Linked DNA regions of Rattus norvegicus. The protein of the gene in region 1 interacts with the protein of each later gene in a pairwise test. Links are inferred from orthologs where the notes say so. Each region holds a gene or a part of one and is shown on either strand. Other genes may lie near its edges.

The links.
Region 2: the proteins of Myo5b (region 1) and Amotl2 interact in binary tests that used the Homo sapiens proteins (3 or more experiments, as listed by UniProt). The two-hybrid records come from large-scale screens. The link is inferred for Rattus norvegicus from reciprocal best matches to the Homo sapiens genes MYO5B and AMOTL2.
Region 3: the proteins of Myo5b (region 1) and Rab25 interact in binary tests that used the Homo sapiens proteins (3 or more experiments, as listed by UniProt). The link is inferred for Rattus norvegicus from reciprocal best matches to the Homo sapiens genes MYO5B and RAB25.
Region 4: the proteins of Myo5b (region 1) and Rab11b interact in binary tests that used the Homo sapiens proteins (3 or more experiments, as listed by UniProt). The link is inferred for Rattus norvegicus from reciprocal best matches to the Homo sapiens genes MYO5B and RAB11B.
Region 5: the proteins of Myo5b (region 1) and Bnip2 interact in binary tests that used the Homo sapiens proteins (3 or more experiments, as listed by UniProt). The two-hybrid records come from large-scale screens. The link is inferred for Rattus norvegicus from reciprocal best matches to the Homo sapiens genes MYO5B and BNIP2.

The regions. Positions count from the first base shown.
Region 1 is NC_086036.1:70,572,458-70,576,029, reverse strand, and holds part of Myo5b (unconventional myosin-Vb), read right to left. Parts: intron 2,681-3,572; coding exon 2,558-2,680; intron 1,618-2,557; coding exon 1,480-1,617; intron 1-1,479. UniProt on the Homo sapiens protein: May be involved in vesicular trafficking via its association with the CART complex. The CART complex is necessary for efficient transferrin receptor recycling but not for EGFR degradation.
Region 2 is NC_086026.1:112,181,466-112,185,463, forward strand, and holds the start of Amotl2 (angiomotin-like protein 2), read left to right. Parts: upstream 1-1,160; 5' UTR 1,161-1,248; intron 1,249-1,357; exon of another isoform or gene 1,358-2,018; intron 2,019-3,382; coding exon of another isoform or gene 3,383-3,444; coding exon 3,445-3,998. UniProt on the Homo sapiens protein: Regulates the translocation of phosphorylated SRC to peripheral cell-matrix adhesion sites. Required for proper architecture of actin filaments.
Region 3 is NC_086020.1:176,301,382-176,305,468, reverse strand, and holds the start of Rab25 (ras-related protein Rab-25), read left to right. Parts: upstream 1-1,247; 5' UTR 1,248-1,474; coding exon 1,475-1,517; intron 1,518-4,006; coding exon 4,007-4,087. UniProt on the Homo sapiens protein: The small GTPases Rab are key regulators of intracellular membrane trafficking, from the formation of transport vesicles to their fusion with membranes.
Region 4 is NC_086025.1:15,233,951-15,238,097, reverse strand, and holds the start of Rab11b (ras-related protein Rab-11B), read left to right. Parts: upstream 1-1,343; 5' UTR 1,344-1,393; coding exon 1,394-1,433; intron 1,434-4,147. Other genes in the region: Rplp1l1 (large ribosomal subunit protein P1-like), read right to left, coding at 1-301. UniProt on the Homo sapiens protein: The small GTPases Rab are key regulators of intracellular membrane trafficking, from the formation of transport vesicles to their fusion with membranes.
Region 5 is NC_086026.1:79,524,305-79,527,876, forward strand, and holds part of Bnip2 (BCL2/adenovirus E1B 19 kDa protein-interacting protein 2), read left to right. Parts: intron 1-2,479; 5' UTR 2,480-2,536; coding exon 2,537-2,586; intron 2,587-3,201; coding exon 3,202-3,269; intron 3,270-3,572.

The DNA.
Region 1 (3,572 bases):
CAGACACACTAGAAGAGGGCATCAGATCCCATTACAGATGGTTGTGAGCCACCATGTGGTTGCTGGGATTTGAACTCAGGACCTCTGGAAGAAGAGTCAGTGCTCTTAACTACTGAGCCACCTCTCCAGCCCAATAAAAATGAATCTTAAAAACCAAACAAAATGAGGGCTCAGCAGTTAAGAGCACTGACTCGCTCTTTCAGAGGTGCCCCTGTTGCCCTTTTCTGGTGTGTGTGAAGTAATAGTGTACTTGTATACATATTATACCACGTCAGAATGGAAAGGAAAGAAAGGTGTTATGAAAAAAGAGTCTGGGTCCAGGATGGGGGTCAAGGATGGAGGGGGAGGGGGAGGAGGAGAGGGAGGGAGGGGGAGAGGGAGGGGGAGGAAGACGAGGAGAGTCAAATCCCACAATTTTCAGTTTAGGCATGAGAATAGATTTTGCTAGTGGTATGGCGCAGAGCTGGACTTAAATCCCACGAGAAGTTCTCCTCACAACTTCACGGTGAGAAAAAGGGGTTCTTATCTCTGACAGCTCTCTGCTGTGGCAGTACTGATAGGTTTGTAATCAACGGCATTCCCAGTCACACTACAACCTTCTTTTTTTATTTTACACCTGAGCTACATTTCCTACTCCCAAACCTGATTTAAATTCCCCAATGGCTAAGTTTGTCTCCTGCATTTTTACCGGTCTTAAAAAAAGAAACTATGCATAGCGACTGTGTGTGTGTGTCTGTGTGTGTGTGTATGTGTGTGTGTGTGTGCGCACACACAGGCATATGTGTGTCTGTCATGGCTTGCCTATGCCATGGTATCTGTGAAAACCAGAGGACAGCTTCTTGCAGGCATCAGTTCTCTCCTCCCATCATGTGTGTCCCTTGGATCTAACTCAGGCCAGCAGGCTTGACAGCGAGGGTCTTCATGATCCTGAGAGGCATCTTGCTGGCTCTGTTTTCTCTTTTGCACGCCCACGTTGTGTATTTGCTTCGAGCCTGATACTGGCATAGTTCTGTGTTTATAGCTTAGGTTCCCCAAAAGTCCTTGAGACAAATAAATTACTTTTAGATGTAAAGTTTCACACAGTATCCTTTCAAGATGCAAGAGGATAGGGATGTCATCAGTTGTGGTGACACAAAGGCACAGCCGTAGGTGAGAAGGGTCTCCTCTGGCTCTCAGCCAGGTGGCTGAGCTTGTGTTAGATTCCAGGCACGAGAGGGTGGTAGACTTTCTCTGCTGATTCTGACTTCTGCTGTTTTATTTTCTCTGCACCTGATGCCAGTCCTCCAGGCATGAGCTCCCAGACTCCCTACTGCTTCCCAGTGGAAATCCTTTGCCCTGGGATACTCAGGGAGCACACCCAGCTCAGAGGCAGTGGGGTGAGACATTCACAGAGAGTGATCAATTTGGTTCCCACAAGAGGAAGCTCTGAAGCCCAACACCACTGAGACCCCATGGGCTCACAACAGAGCGGCTACGCACCTGCACTTTCTTGCTGTCCTGTTGTTCCTTTTCTAGCTGCACCTGCAGCTTCTTCCTCTCCTGCTCAAGTTCCCGCACTCTCTTCTGCAGCTTCAAGAAGACAGTCATGTCCATGGCTGCCTTCTCTATACCAATCTCCTGCAAACGGAGAGGGGTATCCAGAAGGTAGTTTTCACAGCACAAATGCTCCTGGGAACAATGCCTGGCTGCCCACCCCTGTATCAGTCATCTGTCTCCTTGCTCCTCCCCAGTACCAATCCTTGCCTCCAACACAAAGCCAGTGTCAAACCACTAGTATTTCCCATCAGAAAGCTGGTGCTGCTGGCTTATTCTCTTCAATAACATCTGTGTCTCAGCCGTTCACATTCCTCCTGTGAGAGCCACTTAAGTGACCAATCGCATACTCTAAGGAACAACTGAAAACAGGCACAGGCATTTTCTTTGGAAGGTAAAAGGGAATTCACTTCTGGAAAATGGCATTACAAGAGGGAAACTAAATCTTGGGACACAGTGCTTCCTGATGGGGGATCACTGTGACCTCCGGTCACTGTCGTGATGCCAACGAGTACCCGATCGTAACTTGAAACAAGCAATACTTGCCCTGCCGTGGAGCGCGCTGCTCCAACAGATCTTGATACATTGATCTCCCAGTGCATTCCTATCCTTTCAGATCCGGGTCTGGATTTTACTATGTGGCTAAGTATGTAGACAAGCATGTGCTTGCCTGTCGGTAGGCAATGCGTCTGAGTGCACATCAGTCTGTTTTTGCATGTCGGAAGCATGGTGATGTCCCACCTCATGTAATGAGCACAACTCAGGGTCAGTCTCACTGCCTGTGAGCCGCAGAGCCGTGAGGATGACCGTGCCCATATCTACATGGAAACGGCATGCACACGGATGTGACGCCATATATCAGTAAATTCGCTGCAACCCAGTGATCCTGTTCTCAACGTCCGTGCCCTGGGCCCTCTGAGGCACCACCAACAGAGCAGTATATCTCATATCTCTCTTGGGTGGTTCCATGCAGGCAATTAAGTGTCCTCAACAGGACAACTGCAAACAGTTGTCCCAGACTTACCTCCACCTGCTGTAGGGCATCCTCGGTGTCTCCGATTTCTGAGGTGGAAATGGAGGGGTAATTGGAGTCAGATTCTAAGCTACTTTGATTTGATGGGTTCTTCCTGTGGCCTGGAGTTTGCTGCTGAAGGAGGAAAAAAAAAAAACGTGACAACTCGTAACCAGTTCATATTAATGTGAAGTAACTTCTCAAGGAGCCCCGGACATCAGCCACTGCCTCTCGTCAACAACTGTGGGCAGTAGCGCTCCTTGGAACAGTGGATAAATAGTTATTCCCATGAATGCCAGGCAAATACTCTACCGGTGTTTTATAACCCACAGCACCCAGAAAGCGAGGAGAGAACAGCCTTTTACTCGAGCCGTGCCCTCGGATTGCACAGTGCACCCTTCTCCACGTTCTTGAAAGGAACCCTTTCTGCAACCCTTTCCCACACGGCCTCTCCTTCCACCCCGGTTCTGCTCATGAAAACGAGAGTAATTAGGAATAGAGCCTACCTCCCGTGCTATTCATTTAAAAAGACCTTTTGGCTTATGTTTTTGGCAGCTGGTTTGTCTTTTAAGAGTGAAAACCGAGCTTGGTGGAATTTATAGATTTCTATTTCAGTTCCCACTCAGATTCCTTTCCTGGTTTCTATGCAACTAACTCTCGGATGTCGAATATGCATGTTGGGAGGGAGTTACTCGTACGGGTAAAGAGGAATGTCAAATCCTGAGATGTCACAAAAATATCTTGTATTTTGTCAGAGATTAGGAGACCCAATCGGGTTCCAAGGGTCTCTCTCCACACGGACCAATGCAGCTGAGGTCAGAGCCTACAACACCATTGTCTCAACAGTGGAATTGTCTAGAACAAGAAGCAGATGGCAATAGACACATGCAGGAAGATAAGTTTTAACCTCCTAAGATCTCAATAAGACCTCAGCTTTTGGAAAGGGCATCCTCAGAAGGTGACCACCTAACCACAGAGTTCACAGAGGAACGAAAGAACAAGTGGTCCTTGCACACATGCATGTTTC
Region 2 (3,998 bases), on another chromosome or scaffold:
GCTCTAACCAGAGGAGGGAGGAGGAGGGGAGTCAGAAATGACAGACAGAGGAGTCCATTCCACACTAAAGTAGAACACCAGAAGCCAGAGAAGGGGAAGACAAAGAGGGCTGGCTAGGTGTAGACAAATTGGAAAAGATTGGAACTGGGGACAGGTAGGTGGAAGCAGAGACTCTCTGGGCCCGCCTTATCAGGCTAGGGTACCCGGATTCCGAAGACCAAGAAAAGAGTCCTGGCTTCATCAGCTATTCTCTGTGTGACCCTAGGTAAGTTATTAAACTCTCTGAGCCTTGGTTTCTTATTTATTACAGAGATAATGAGAGCACGGTTGGAGAGTGACTAGAATCTTATGGCCGAGTAAAGAGCAAGTGGTGACCCGCCTTGTGCTTGACTTAAAGCTGAACGGAGCTGGGGAGAAGTTAGAGAGAGTGCCCAGTGAGTGGCTGATTCATTTGGGTAGTGGGTTAAATCCACCAGATTTTCAACCCAGATTCACACACTTCCTGTAGAGGCGGGATCTAAAAGAGCTGGCGAAGGTGTTTGTAAACAATAAAAGTGCAATTCAAAGTTTGCCGCTGGGGGGTGAAATAGTAGGGGTTAGGAAAGAGGCTGGGCAGCTGCGGGCCGAAGCATCGGTTGGTTCGCCTGCAACACGGCCCAAGCTGGGCGGATGTAAAGTGCTTTGCAGTCCTCCCGCCATCTCCAAAAAGCCACAGACCCCTCTTGCAGCCACCACCGGGCGTTCGAGGCTTATCCCTGGAAGTCGTCCCTCGGTGCATGTAAGGATGACGGGTGAGAACCGGGTGCGGACAGTGGTGGGGCGATCTTGGGACCAGTTGGTTAAGACACCCCCAACAGCTAGGACAGCAAGGCAGAAGGCAGGGAATGCCGTACGGCCCCAGAGCCCAGGGTGGCACAAGGGGACAAGGCTGAGGCCAGCCCAGCCGCCGGCCGCAGCGCCGCCTCCCCGGAGGAAGGCGGGGGCTGGGCCAGGAGGCGGGGGGAGGCGGAGAGCGGAGGAGGGCGGCGCGCTGAGAGGTTATTTGTGGTTCGCTTTGATCCCGAGGGGGAACCTGAAACTCTCACATTCCTGGCATAGCAGCCGCCTCCAGCGCGGGCTGACCTAGAGGCTGCGCACTGGGGCGCGAGCAAGCAGATCGTCGGCGCCACCGACGAGTGCGCACCTCCGTTGCCGACCGTACCTAAGCCGAACCCGGTCTGCGTGCGCCGGCAGCCGCGGGCCGCAGCGGTAAGCAAGGCGCCTGGCGCTCCGGGTAGTGCGCGAAGCCTGCGGGGACGCTTCCCAGCGGCACCCGGACACCGCGATCAGCCCGACTCTTTCTGGAGATCGGAGCTGGAGTGGAGGAGCCTCCCCGGGGAGGGGACACTGTGCACCCTTTCGAGGATTGATCCTGGGTGTCTGTCTAGCCTAGGCTGCTCGCGCTTTTGTGGGGGTGAGGACACGATTCTCCGACCCACTGGGGCTGGAGGAAGGACAGAGGATCAGTGTTTGGGAGTGTGCGTCTCGTACGGGGCAAGTGAATAGCTGCTGTAGGCATATCTCGCCGAATACGGGGTCACCGTGATTGCTTTGTCTAGATTGGGGATACAGGTGGCTTTTACCGTCAGCTAGATCAAGAATTCCTCTTTGTCTTCCTTGGAAAATCCTCTCCGGAGCCACGAACTGGCTCTCACTTAGAAAGAATGCAGCCTGCTGTCCAGTCCGGTGACGTCAGCGCTGAAGTATTTGGAAAACAAAGAGGGTTAGGGAGAGAGGCGGACCCGCGATGCTTAAAGACCTCTCGCGGGTGTGGGTTTTGCTTGCCCGGGGCACTCGGGCAACCACCAGTGCTAGTGGTCCACCTCGGTGGAGGTGGGAAACGCGGGAACCCTGGTCTGGCTGACTTAGAGACTAGCGTTGGTTCTTTTTGCTGGAGGGAGCCCGAGCCAAGGCCAGAGAAGCATGTTTGCTTAGAAAGGTAGCTGGTTTTCCGAGTGCAGTGTTCCAGAGCAGCCCAGGTACAACGTCCGAGTAAGGAAGCTGATTTTTAGAAATTGCTCAACCCTAAGAATTTGAAAGATTGTGCATCTAGGGGATTAGATTGGGACGTGTGTGTGATGAGAGGCCTCGGAAATGTTCCGTGCTCCCGGGGAGCCTGGCTCATAGTTGGCGCGCCTGGAATCTGTCGGGAAGGCTTTGCATTCCTTCTAGCCGCTCCCGGATCCTCCTTAGCGGGAGTCAGCCCAGACAGTGATTAACGTAGGAAATGCCGCGTAGAAAAAGCTGCGTGCGAACAGTCTCAAGTCTTACACATTGTAGGGTGCAGCTGGGGTGGGGGTGGGGGTATTAGTTGCCGGCTTGGGTGCCCTCGGGGCTCATTACCAACATACCATTCAGGGCTCTGCCAACACATCATTCCCAAAGTGGGGCTGCACACTGGGGATAGCACGGAAGAGAAAGGGGCCACATCCCCACGAGCCCTTCCTTCGTCTTCCCCCTCACCTCATTACCCCATCAACTGGCATAGGTGGTCGTTACTAATATCAACAGAGATACAGAGGGTCATCCCCTGTGTACCTCTAGGGTACAAGTAGAGGCTTTTCTAAGTTTGTATGTGTGTGTGTGTGAAGAAAGGAGGAGGAGGATCAATATTTTGCTGGCTCAATTACTGCAGTCACACCTCTGCCTCACCAGTTCACATGCAGCTTCTCAGGCTGCTCACCTTGCAGAGTGACTGCGAAGGTCATCTGTGACAAGGATTTATTTTATCTGCAGCCCAGGGTCCGACTCCTGGAAGAGAAGCCAGTGGAGGGTGGTGGACTATGGTGGCTCAAGCCTCCTCATTCGAAACAGTCAATGGAGTCATTTGCTTAGGGCTTCTTTCTACTGGGCTACATTCTGTCTTTGGCCACTCTGCGAGTAAACTGAGGTCCTACTGCTTAAGTGGTTGAATTTGATGGACACCTGTCCTGGGGTCACTCGTGAGAGCGTTTGGGGGTAGTGGCTGATTGTAGGCGAGTGTGATTATTAGATAACCTTCAGGTTTTCTGTTGTATTTCTGTGGTCTCCATACATGTCCTTAGAATGGTAAGCATTTGCCAAGGATTTATAGCATGCCAGGCGTTCTACCTCTTACATTTCAACTCCCAAGAGGCACACACACACACACACACACACACACACACACACACACACACGGCAGACTAAGATCAGAAGCTCAGTAACTAAACTTAATCAATTGATGGCCATATTGGCACTTGGATCTGGGCCTGTGTAAAACCACCCAACTATCTCACCTTCTCCTTCATCCAGAGTGTTTTGGCAAGTGCCCCTCCCTCCTTTGTATGTGCTTCCACTGACTGCTATTCTTTCTGTCTGTTAGGTGCTCTGAGACCAGGTGCCTGCTGGCCATTGTCTAGGCAGGTGTGTGCAAGCCAGAGAAGCATGAGGACACTGGAAGACTCCTCAGGGACAGTCCTGCACCGCCTCATCCAGGAGCAGCTGCGCTACGGCAACCTGACAGAGACTCGCACTCTGTTGGCCATCCAGCAGCAGGCCCTGCGGGGTGGGGCTGGAGCTGGGGGCACAGGGAGCCCCCAGGCCTCCCTGGAGATCGGAGCACCCGAGGACAGTCAGGTGCTACAGCAGGCCACCAGGCAGGAGCCCCAGGGCCAGGAGCATCAGGGTGGAGAGACCCACCTGGCAGAGAACAGGCTGTACCGACTCTGCCCACAGCCCAGCAAGGGAGAAGAGCTGCCCACCTATGAGGAAGCCAAAGCCCATTCGCAGTACTATGCAGCGCAGCAGGCAGGCTCCCGGCTGCATGGTGGGGACCGGGATCCTAGAGGGGCCTCAGGAGGCAGCCGACGTCAGGATGAGGCTCTTCGAGAGTTGAGGCACGGCCATGTGCGCTCCTTGAGTGAACGACTTCTGCAGCTGTCCCTGGAAAGAAATGGTGCCCGGGTCCCCAGCCACATGAGCTCTTCCCACAGTTTCCC
Region 3 (4,087 bases), on another chromosome or scaffold:
CACCCACCCATTTGCAGTACCTGGGATTGATCTAGAGGAGCAAAGGCCTGTTCTTCACAGAAAATACAGGTCCCTAGAGTTCACCATTTTTTTTTTTTTTTTTTTCGGAGCTGGGGACCGGACCCAGGGCCTTGTGCTTGCTAGGCAAGCGCTCTACCACTGAGCTAAATCCCTAACCCCCCCCCCTTTTTTAAAAACTTTTTTCTTGTGTGTGTGTGTGTGTGTGTGTGTGTGTGAGAGAGAGAGAGAGAGAGAGAGAGAGAGAGAGAGAGAGAGAGGGTCTCTTACATAGCCCTAGCTGTCCTTGAACTCTCTTTTTGTTATTTTGTCTTTTTTTTTTTCCAGAGCCTAGGACTGAACCCAGGGTCCTGTGCTTGCTAGGCAAGTGCTCTACCACTAAGCTAAATCCCCAACCCCTTAGAGTTCACCATTTTCTAGTTTTAGGAGTGCCCCCAACTCCCTTTCCTACACTTTCATGAGCCTACCAGACCCTATCTGCAGCATTTGTTTTAGTTAAAAAGAAAAATTGTGTGTGGACATGCAGATTCTTCTCCATTACCTTTACTTATTTATTGCATGTGTGTACCCGATGTGTGGGTAGTGTGCCCCACAGTACAAGCGTGACAATCGGAAGACTGACCTCAGAAGGCCTCAAGGTCTTCATCTTCAGATGCTGCACCCATATTCACCACATCCAGCTCTTTCTGCTCTTCTCGCTGAGATCCATCCATGAAGAGAGTAAATCTGATTATTGTATGTTAGGAAGGGACCCATCTGACCAGGTGGTGTTCCAGCTTCACCTGAGTGAGAAATGCTGCCCTTCCCTGGCCTGGAGCTGGTAAGGAGGGGCCTGAAGCTGCCTGCATGCTGGTACATCTCCCAAAGTTCAGTATCGTACAGAGATGCTATACCCAGCTTGCATTTCTTTCTCTAATAGCCCTTCCCCTGATGCCCCCTACCCTGGTATGTGTCCTTATTAAAACCTGAGATGGGAAAGCCGGAGGCCGGTAGGTTTCTGCCCCACCCCCGTGTCTATTTTTCTCAACCCAGTAGCGGCTCCCCTTCTTAGAACCCCAGAAACCCACTCGGGCTCACCCGCAGCCTCACCCACTGTTAGCTCTATGAGCAGGCCCTCTTATTTGGGAGAGTGTGGGCCAAAAGCAGACACCTAACCAGTTTAACCTGTCTGACGTCATCATCGCTCCACCCACCTGTGCCCCAGGTGCCCAGCGGAGCTAGCTAGCTCTTCCTGTTCTCAGCTTCCGTCCTCTCAGCTCCCACAGAGTAGCCTAAAGTGCCAGAGCTGAGCCTCCAGGGCTCTTCCTGGCCTCAACTCAGCCTCTTGTCCTTTACCCTAATGAGAGAGGAGCCAGGTGCAGGTCTTTCAAGAGCTGAGAGTGGAGGCCATTTAACCTATAAACAGACTTGTGACCTCTGTTCCTGCAAACGCCCTCACTCTCCATGCTGAGCCAAGATGGGGAATCGAACAGATGAAGATTATAATTTTGTCTTTAAGGGTAAGTTGGGGCTCTTGAAAAGGGAGAATCCAGAGAGGGTGGGAGAGAGGCTCTTTCCAGAGGAGACAGGGTCTTTTGATTTTTATCTCTCACTTGGAATTCCCCGCGCCCCCCCCCCCCCCCCATCTCCAAGCTCAGCATGTCCTTTAGGAGAGAAAGGCCATGAGCAGTTAGGCAGGTCTGGTTACAAGTACAGATGTTCTGAAATCGTATGCTCTCTAAAGGTGCTGGTAATTCCTTCCTATTGCCAAACTAGGCTTCCCTGCCCAGTCTCTAATAGATGCTGGAATCCCTGGGAATGTCAGTGATGCCCAAGAGAGAGAGGTCAGACTTCAGAAAAGGACTTGCAGGGAAGAGGAAGAAGCAAACCAATTTAAGTGGAAGAAAGTCATCTTTCCCAGCAGATGCATAGGAAAGAGGGGAGGGAGAGTGGTAGCCATTGTTATCTAGGTAGTTAACACATAGGGGAGTTGACTCATAGGTAGTTGATACACTGGAGCAATGCATTGAATTTGGAACAGTCTAATGGATTCCACAGGAATCCTGGGCTGCATGGCCTCTTGCACTGTCTTTGGACCCAGATATTAGGCACTGGGTTCACTGGGCTGTCTCTGAAGGTGCACATGCTTCCCTCCTGCTCCCCTCACCCCCCAACTCCTGATATTTGGTCCCTCTGTGGTTCTCTAGCCCTCCTTGAAGGCAAGGTGGCCTGGTGGCACTCTCCTTTCCTTTGCACCACACCCACAGCCTCTCCCAAGCTCAGCCCCACCCTGGCCCAAGCTGGGGAGCCTGTACTCCTGGCATTTTCCCAAGGAAGCGTGGGGCTGTGGCCACAGGTGTAGTGACTCCCATTTGTTGAGGCCCTACTAGGTACCATTTTCATACAATCATCTTCTCATCCCTGGTGTGAGCTATCACTATAGGTGGTTGTGTGGTCTCTCTGCCACTTACCAGTTAGCTCAGATGGAGTCCCAGTGCTACTTCCAAGAAGTCTGGGGTATTCTGTAATGATTACAGGCTGGCACATGCAAGGATAAACAGGAGGAAGCAGGATCGGGCAGAGGATAGTCACCTGCCATGACAGCTCAGAGCTATTCAGAGAACAGGGAGCTTTGGGGTAGCCTTGGAACACTGTCCCTGGGGTACCACATGGACCTGTCTAGAGAGGCATGACATCCCGTGTCCATGAGGGCTCACCTGTGAGCTGTCACTGCCACTGCTTCCCCCCCTGCAATGAGGGGGTGGAGCAGGTCCTTCCTAAAAGGTAGAGGTGAGCAGCACATCTATCTGTTTAGTGCATTGTGAGAGACCTACTAGGTGGGTACCTTGTCTATAAAAATGGGAATAGTGGCCGGGCAGTGGCAGTGCAAGCCTTTAATCCCAGCACTCGGGAGGCAGCAGGTAGATCTCTGTGAGTTCAAGGCTAGCCTGGGCTATAGACTGAGTTCCCGGACAGCCAAATCCTGTTTTTTATAATAATAATAATAATAATAATAATAATAATAATAATAATAACAATAATAATAAGATAATAAAGGCATTTACCTCAGGCATTGTTGTGAGGTTACATGAAGTGTTTTGGATGGAAGCACTCTGTAAATGTTAGCCACTGGGATTTTACAGAGGAAGAAACTAAGATGTAAAGAGTTAAGTAGTTCTCCAAAAAGAGGTCACAAAAGGGGCTGGAGAGGTGGCTCTGTGGGTAAGCACCCACATGGTGGTCACAACCATCTTTAACTCCAGTTCCGGGTGATCTGACACTCCACCAGGGATGCATGTGGTATACAAACATACATAGAGGCAAAACGCTCACACACATAAAATAGATAAATCTTAAAACAAAATTAAAAGGCCACAAAGCCAGTAAGGACAGAAGCCTGCCTAGCATTAAAACCTTGCTCCAGGGCTGAGGCCAGGGCTGTGGATGGATGAATGGGGATGTCTCTCCTAGTAAAGGAGAGGCAGTAACGCGCATGCGTCCACGAAGGCGCACTCCAACACCTGCCTCTCACCTACAGAAGTGTCACTGGCCAACCTTAGCCTCAGTCTTCCATGTGGACACACAACACACCCAAGCCCCTTTTCCTCATCCTTCCAACTCACATACAGACATCTGCAACCTTCCCATACTCCATTCTCCCTAGTCCAGAAATGTGCACTCCAGCCCTCCCGGCGGCCTTTGTCCTTTCTCACATGCTGTCTCAGTCACCTTTCCACATGTCCTCTGCCAGCAGCCCACACCCGTTGCTCTTAACTGTGTTACCCTGCTGCCTCAGCAGCCCCTGTCTGGAACACTCCTGGCCTTTCTATTCCCTGCCCTCAGACAGATGCCCAATGCAGTGTGGCCAGCCCCAGTCTCTGCCAGAAGAGATAACTCTTTTCTTGCTTTTCTGATCTCACTTCCTCTTTCTGGTGGGACAGGCTGCCCAGCTCAGGTAGGCTCAGAGCTGCTCTGCCCTGGCTCAGCCCTCCTCTCTCCACTCCCTCAGTGGTACTGATCGGCGAGTCAGGCGTGGGCAAGACCAATCTGCTGTCCCGGTTCACCCGCAATGAATTCAGCCACGACAGCC
Region 4 (4,147 bases), on another chromosome or scaffold:
CAGATTCTTCCTTCTTTGCTTCTACTTTCTTCTCCTCAGCTGGGGCAGCAACGGTGGATGGAGCAGGACCACCAGCAGGCGCAGCTCCAGCTGCTGGAGCTGGCCCACCAGCCCCTACATTGCAGATGAGGCTCCCAATGTTGACATTGGCCAGAGCCTTTGCAAACAAGCCAGGCCAGAAAAGTTCAACATTGACACCAGCTGCTTTAATCAGGGCATTGATCTTATCCTCTGTGACCATCACCTCATCGTGCAAGATAAGGTCGGAGTAGATGCAGGTGAGCTCGGAGACAGAAGCCATGTTGTGGACTGCCCGCACGGAGCTAGTCGCTGGATGAAGTGAGGGCCTCACCACAATGCAGCCTTAGCTTCCTCAGAAGGACCGAGCACCTTGGCGGCAGCTGAGGAAAGGGGCTACTCCCTTTTCAACTTGAAGCTAGCCAGGGTAACATAAGTCCTTGTCTCAAAAAACAAAACAAAATATCAAGCCGGGTGGTGGTAGCAAGTGCCTCTAATCCCAGCACTTGGGAGGCTGAGATAGGCGGCTCTTTGTGAGTTCGAGGCCAGCCTGGTCTACAGAGCAAGTTCCGGACAGCCAGGGCTACATGGTGTGACCCTGTTACGAAAAAACAAGAAAGAAAAAAAGGGAAAAGAAAGCCAGACAGGTATGGTCTGAGCCATATCACCAATTCCAGTCTAGCTAGGGTTTCATAGTGAAAATCTGTCTTAGAAAATAAAAAAATATGAGTAATGGTGAAAGCAGAAAACAATAGAACTTTTTGAGAAGAACAAATGAAAAAAGCCTAGGAACCCCATTTGTTTTGGAGGTACTGGCATAAGCTTTAGGTTTAAACAAATAACTGGGGAAGTGCAACTCAGAGAAGGCACCCCAATCCACGTACATACACCCGGAAATGGTCATTTATGGGGCTAGACTAAGAGGCCAGAGGAAACCCACTGTTCTATGATGTCACCAGGACGTTAGAGTCCGTAACTTCACCTAGAGGTAGCTCGATACAGGTCCACTGGAAGGCCGAGTCTCAGTCCAGTCTCTCATTGGTTACATACTCTGTCAATCCGCTTCATTGTTCAAGTCTTCCGCCCCTCCTTTCTCCATCTGCTTTTGATAGGCTGCTGAATCTGTCACTTCGAAAAGGTCCGCATTCCTTCCGCCTTTCTCCAGGAGACCTAGGACTAGAAGGGTGGATCCCAGGACGATCCCACCCCCTGAGCTCGCCTCCTAAGTTTGATTGGCTTGTTCAGGTGCCTGTCACTACCGCTTTCACCGTTGACTGGCCACCAGACCGCCGCTCTGCGCGGCGCCGGTACCGCCCCCGTCGGGTGTTTGTGGTGGGGCTGCGGAGTCGCCGATCCCGCCGGAAGCGCCAGGACAATGGGGACCCGGGACGACGAGTACGATTACCTATTCAAAGGTGCGCCCGGTGGGGTACAAATAGGCAAGGTCGCAGTAGCGACTGGAGGGCCGAAGCCGTGATACAGGACCAGAGGGTTCAAGGTGGAGCCCGGGGCTTCAGCGGGGCCTATCCGGGGTAGGGAGTCTGAGGAAGCCGTGGCAAGTGGAGCTTGCTAGGTTTTGGGCCTTAGTGCGCAGCGGTGAGATGAGGGAGACTCGGAGAGGCCTATGGACCCCGGATGCGCCGGGGCGGGGCCGGGGCCTTGAGGGGGTGGGGCCCGAAGTGGTCGAAGAGGCCGTTGGGGCGGGGCGTCCTGAGGGGCGGGGCTTTCTTGGGTTTGGCGGGCGGACTACGTTGAAAGCGGGATTATAGGTGGTGGTAGGGCGATGGAGAAGGTTGTGGGCGTGCCCACTAAGCCTGATTGGTTTGAGCCTTCTAGGGCTGACTTGTTACAGGCGGGGCCTACCTTGGAGTGGAGGCTGGGTCATGAGGTGCAGTATCCCTAAATTGTGGTGCTTTGGAATTGGGTATATTGAGGCCTGTCTGTTCATCACTAGTTCAAACTCTTGGTAATTGACGGAAATGTGATTCAGTTAGTAGCATGCTTATCAGAAGCATGCTCAAAGCCCTGGGTTTTATCCCCAACACTGCATAAACATTGGTGATGGTGCAGACCTGTAGTCTCAACACTTGGGAGGCAGAGGTAGGAAGAGCAAAAGTGCAGAGGCCAGGCTGGATTACTGGAACCCTTTTTCAAAGAAAAAAAGAACATGGATGAGATCAAATGCAGTACTTGCACTATTCTGAGACTTTACAACAATGGTCCCTTTTAATCCTCTTTGAGTTTATACAGTCCACTTTGTCCAGGAAACAGGCCTATAGTGGTGCACACCTGGAATCCCAGTACTCAGAGTTGGGGGTAGGAGGATCTCTTTCCAGTTCAAAGCCAACCTGGGCTGGTGAGGGAGCTTAGGTATTGGTGTGCACTGCCAAGCCTGATGACCTGAGTTCAATCTTGGAGCCTCCATGGTGGACAAAAGTCAGCAAATTGTCTTCTGCCCTTCATATGAGCCCACATAGATAGATACACAGAAAAAAATAGTGTAATTTAGCAGAATGTGGTGGCACACACCTTTAATCCCAACACTCAGGAAGCAAGAGAGAGACAGAGATCTGTGAGTTCAAGGCAAACCTGGTACACATAAAGGGGCGAGACAGGAGTGGCAAGTCAACAGAATTTGGATGTTTTTGTTTTTGTTTTTTTAATTTTTTAAAAGCTAACTTATGTTACACAGCCATAGTCTGTCCTCAGAACAAAAGGGAAAAACTGAAGTTCAGAGAATCAGGTTCCTAAGGGTGGAGCAGGATTGAGCCCAGGACAGGTTTTGCCACTTAGAGTATAAGTTTAGGGACAAGGATTGCAGCTTAGATATGGAAAAGACAGGTATTATACCTCCCTTCAACACATACATATCTAACTCAGGAAGAGCTTCCCTACTTTGTAAGCTTCTGTCCGTGTCATTGGGGTTCCCCATTCTTCTGGTGAGCATATTTTAAGGATCTGGCATTGTGACACCTTCTATGCCAAGCTGGGCTTTTGGGTCCTAGACTCCCTGATTGACAGTGATGGATTTTGAGAGATAACTTCTGGATCCTCCAGGGACATACCTTTGCCCTCAGGGTTGTGGAGGTAGTTGGGATATCCTTGTGGCAAAAGGCTCATAAGACAGAGACAGAGACAGACTTCTGCAAAGATACGGGTACCACACAGCACTATGGGCTAGGCGTGGGCTATATCCAGGTGTGAGACTAATTACAGGTGTTAGAGTCCAGGTATCACTTCAGAGGCAGAGTATGATTTGGAAGGCTCTCTGGTGACAGAAAAGATTCAAGTCCTGCTGTGTCCGGGGCCTGTCCCCACTCAGACCACCCGGAGGAAGCTTCCAGGCAGGGCAGGGGGATCTTTTCCCTTCAAGTCATCACATCCAGGCATCTGTGGTCATTCCCTGCTTGTTTTCAGCCTTTTCACTGTTATAAATAGCCTGGCATTGAATGTGTGCCCGAGTCCTCTCTTTGCCCTGTGGGCTGTTTCCTTGATGTGCATTCCCAGAAGTGCAGTTACTAGGTCAGGGGCAATGGAACTCCATTGCCATTCCTGGTACTTGTCTCCAGAGCTCACTTCCTGGAAGCACCAATCAGCTCCTGCAGCAGCTGGCAACGGGGTTGGGGGGTTGGTATTGGTAGAAGGAGAGTAGCCACCTGCCCCCACTACCCTCTCCTACTGTCCTCCTTTCCTGGTCTGGCAGGTACCTTCTTCAGTAAGTCATAGTAGCTGCCTAACCCCCAAGGTGAACATTCTGCCAGTGCTCACCCTAGGTCTCCTCTCCATTCCTGGCATCTCACCTGAGCGTTAACATTTGTCCTTTTCATTCAGACTTTAAACCATTAAATTAGATAAAGGAGTGCTATGAAATAAAAAGGGAAGCCAGGCAGATTGTTATCACCAATCACATCATTTTGCCTGCATGTGGCGAATAATGTGAGTACACTGCACCTGCCAATCCCTTTTGAGACTCACAGCCTTTAGATGCTCCAGGTCAGCCATTATAACAATGGTGGTAACCTGGTCAGCCTTGGAGAGGCGTCTTAATTCAGTGGTAAGAAGATAAATTCAAGGCCAGCCTAAGCTACATAGCAAAACCTTGTCTCAAGAAAAAAAAATCTACGTTTGC
Region 5 (3,572 bases), on another chromosome or scaffold:
CTTTTTTCAATGCCTTTCTTGCTGTTTCCTGTTCCTTCTGCTGCCTGGTGATAAAGTGCTTCCAAGAACAGAACTCGATTGTTGGCTTTGTTTTCATCTACCTAGTCTGCTACCCCCGTCGTTCTTGGTGAAATTGTGGAGTTAGTCTATTTCTCTCTGTTCCTTCTTTGTTAAACTAGCCTGATAATCGTCCCTCCCCATAACTAAAAATCCATGATAATGTGTGTGACCAGCACATGACTGAGAACATTAGTAAAATTGAGGAAGTTGGCTGCAAGGGCTCAAGGAGTTGGGCTTCCATGTTTGCCTGTGCTGTGGAGAATGGAACCCAGGGCCCCAGGCGCTGAGCAGTGTCTGAGCACCAGCACCGCTCTCCAGGTTTACTTTGTAACAGGGTCTTACATAAAGGCTCAGGGTAGCCTTGAACTTGCAGTCTTCCTGCCTCAGCCTCTGAGGGAGCTGGGATTACAACCCTGTATATAAGGAGCCCCCTTTTTGTTGTTTGGTTTTAGTCGTGTTAAGACAAGGGTCTAGCTACATAGATATCCCAGGCTAGTCTCAATCTCAACAGTAATCCTCTTGTAGGCCTCAAAGTACTAGGATTACAAACCTGAGCCTTCATGGCAGTTTTGAAGGAGTTAGTTTTCAACTAAGAAAGTAATAAATGCTAAGAGAAATAAGAGAAATAAAGAACAACTTTACCAACAGTAATTTACATTGTATATATTTATGTTCCCAAAAAGTATTTTCATAACATTTTTAAGGGAAACTCATAATAACTATTTATATAATTCAGAAAGCAAAAGAAACTTAAGGGTTGACCAAGGCCTGGCCCAGTTCTGGTGCACCGCCACTGTGAAGCCCCGTAACGTGCTGAGCATTGTGCTGATGTTAATGTATTGATTACAACTGCCAGTTCCTGCTGTTACTTCTGAGATTTTTTTTTTTCTGGTTATTTAAAAAAGATGCCCAGAATATTCTGCTTCTCCCCACCCCACCCCCAGTACCCAGGAGAAAGGCAGGACAAGACCGAGGGAACTGTTGTGGTTATTTACCCGCACGTAGTTCAGTAACAGAACGTCAGCACGTTATCTTTTCTTCCCAGTACTAATAAAAAGGTTTGTAAAATTGTAAGCCCTTTGAGACTTTCCCAAGTATAAGTAAATACTCAACCTGGGAGGCAGAGACTCTAGTCATTCATTGAGGAATGAATTTAGTTTGCTGTATGAAACTTAACAATTCAAGCATTTAATTTCCTTTAGTTTGTTTTTAGAATATCATTTGATATGAATGTGAATAGCTCTCGTCTATTAGAAAGGTTTTGGGTGGTGTTTCGTTTTGTTTGGTACATGGTTTTTTAAAATCGGGTATTAGAGAAGGACGTGGGTGCGCTGCTTGGGCATGCTGCCCTTTCTCTGTGTCAGCCACTCGGAACTACTACTTTGTTTTTGTTTATATTTATTTTTGTAGCTCCAGTTATGATGTATGGCTCTTAAGAAAAATTCAAAGGTAGCATCCTGGCCAATACCTGTAGTCCCAGAACTCAGGAGATTGGAACAGAAAGGTCACAAGTTTGAAGACAGTCTAAACTGAAGGGCAAGGATGTGTCTGAGAGATTGAGAACTGTGTCAATGCTGTCTGTAGGAACTTGCTCTGTGTTACTCTGATGTAAACGAGTTAACACTCAGAGTGCCTCCGTGTCAGTGATCTGCCACCTGCTTCTGTTGAACTTCTTACCAACTGATAGTCATGACTTTTTAAAGATTTGTTTGTTTTTTATTTTATGTGTGAGTGATTTGTCAACATGTTTGTGTGCCACATGCATGCCATACTCTCGAAGGTCAAAGAGGGTATGTAGCACCCCTGAAACTGGGGTCTCAAGTGTCATGAGGGTGCTGGGAACTGACCCCTGAGCCATCTCTCTTGCCTCTCTTCATGACTTATACTGTACTTCAGCTGAATTATTCTGTCAGACAGAAAGTGAGTTGGTGCAGAAAAAAACAAGATTAGCGTTTAGGGCATGAATTAAAATAGATAGTTGCACATGTGACAGACAGCATCAGTAGATGGGACACCGAGTTATGAGAAGGGCGTGGCACAAATGGGAAGCACATCATCAACCAGTACAGTCTGCTGCTGGACAGGCTCCACACACTGAGTAGACTAAGTGGCTAGCAGTGGTGAGAAGGAGCCGTAAACACTGCAGAGCGCTGGGCTCCGGTGGCTGTGTCTGTACATGGAACGCACTCCTGTGCTTCAGGATCCACCCTGTGCAGAGGGCAGACAGCCAATTTGTTATTCTATAGTAGAGACGCCATTTGTCTATCTGCAGTAGGTCAAGTCTCATAACCAGACCACTGAGCTAAAGCCTCTGTGGCTGCTGGCATGGAGATGCGAGCTGGAGGGGAGACTGCTGCACCTTTGCAGCAGATGAAGGGCAGAGGTGGAAATGAAGCTGTTGCTCATCTTTCTCCCCCAGGACCTCGGCTGCCTGGATTGCCAGGAGCTGGAAGTTGACATTGAGTCTAGGCTGAGGATGGAAGGTGTGGAACTGAAAGAAGAATGGCAGGATGAAGACTTCCCAATGTGAGCGGTACTTTTTATTAAACAGATTTGGACCAAAGCATCAGGATTCCTTTAATGAAATGTCAGCTCATGAATGCTGGGCTTCTTTAAAGAGAAGGTTACAGTGATCACTGGATACTAGGAGATGAAAGTTATTTTCTACCAAATATGTGACTGACTTATCTTTTCACATTTATTTGAATCATTTCAGCTTCAGGTTTTAGGTTTTTGTGCTTTAAGCTAAAGTCTTAGGTTTTTGGAGGAATGGGCTATCAGCTCTCTGAAAAGTGAATGGAGTGCCAAGCTGGTAGGATCCACTTGTAACCCCAGCACTGTGGAGATGGAGACCAGATCCCCAGGCCTACCTGCCTGGGCCATGTAATTAGTCCCAGGCTGGTGACAAATGCTGTCTCAAATGGTGGACAGCCCCGAGGAACATCTGAGATTTTCTCTGACTGCAACACACACACACACACACACACACACACACACACACACACACACACACACACACTGGTTTGTAGAACTTTTGAAACATAGCTTTAGTCCTTATAATTGTGACATTTTAATGGATCTTTGAGCTTCAAAAGAGTTATTTTTAATTTCTGGAATAAAGAGCTTATCTATGTCTTCTAGACCTTTACCAGAAGATGACAGCATTGAAGCAGATATACTAGATGTAACTGATCCAGACAGACAGCCTGGTAAGAATTTGTGTTACTTTTGAATACATTTCTTTACATATATAGAGAGAAACCAACAACATTGAGCCCCCCATCCCACCCCATAGAGGGCGTCAAAGGGCAAATTTTGGAATTCTTGAGAAATTTAACTTTATAAAATAGTATATCTTTGGTTTTAGAAATTTTTACAAGGAGCAAAAGAGACTATTTAATAAGAAATGACAATAAAGTCTGTCTCTGTTGTTTCAAAGGAAATTGGTACTTTCTTGATCTCTCTCTTTTTTTTTTTTTTTTTTTTTTTTTCTTTTTTTCGGAGCTGGGGAC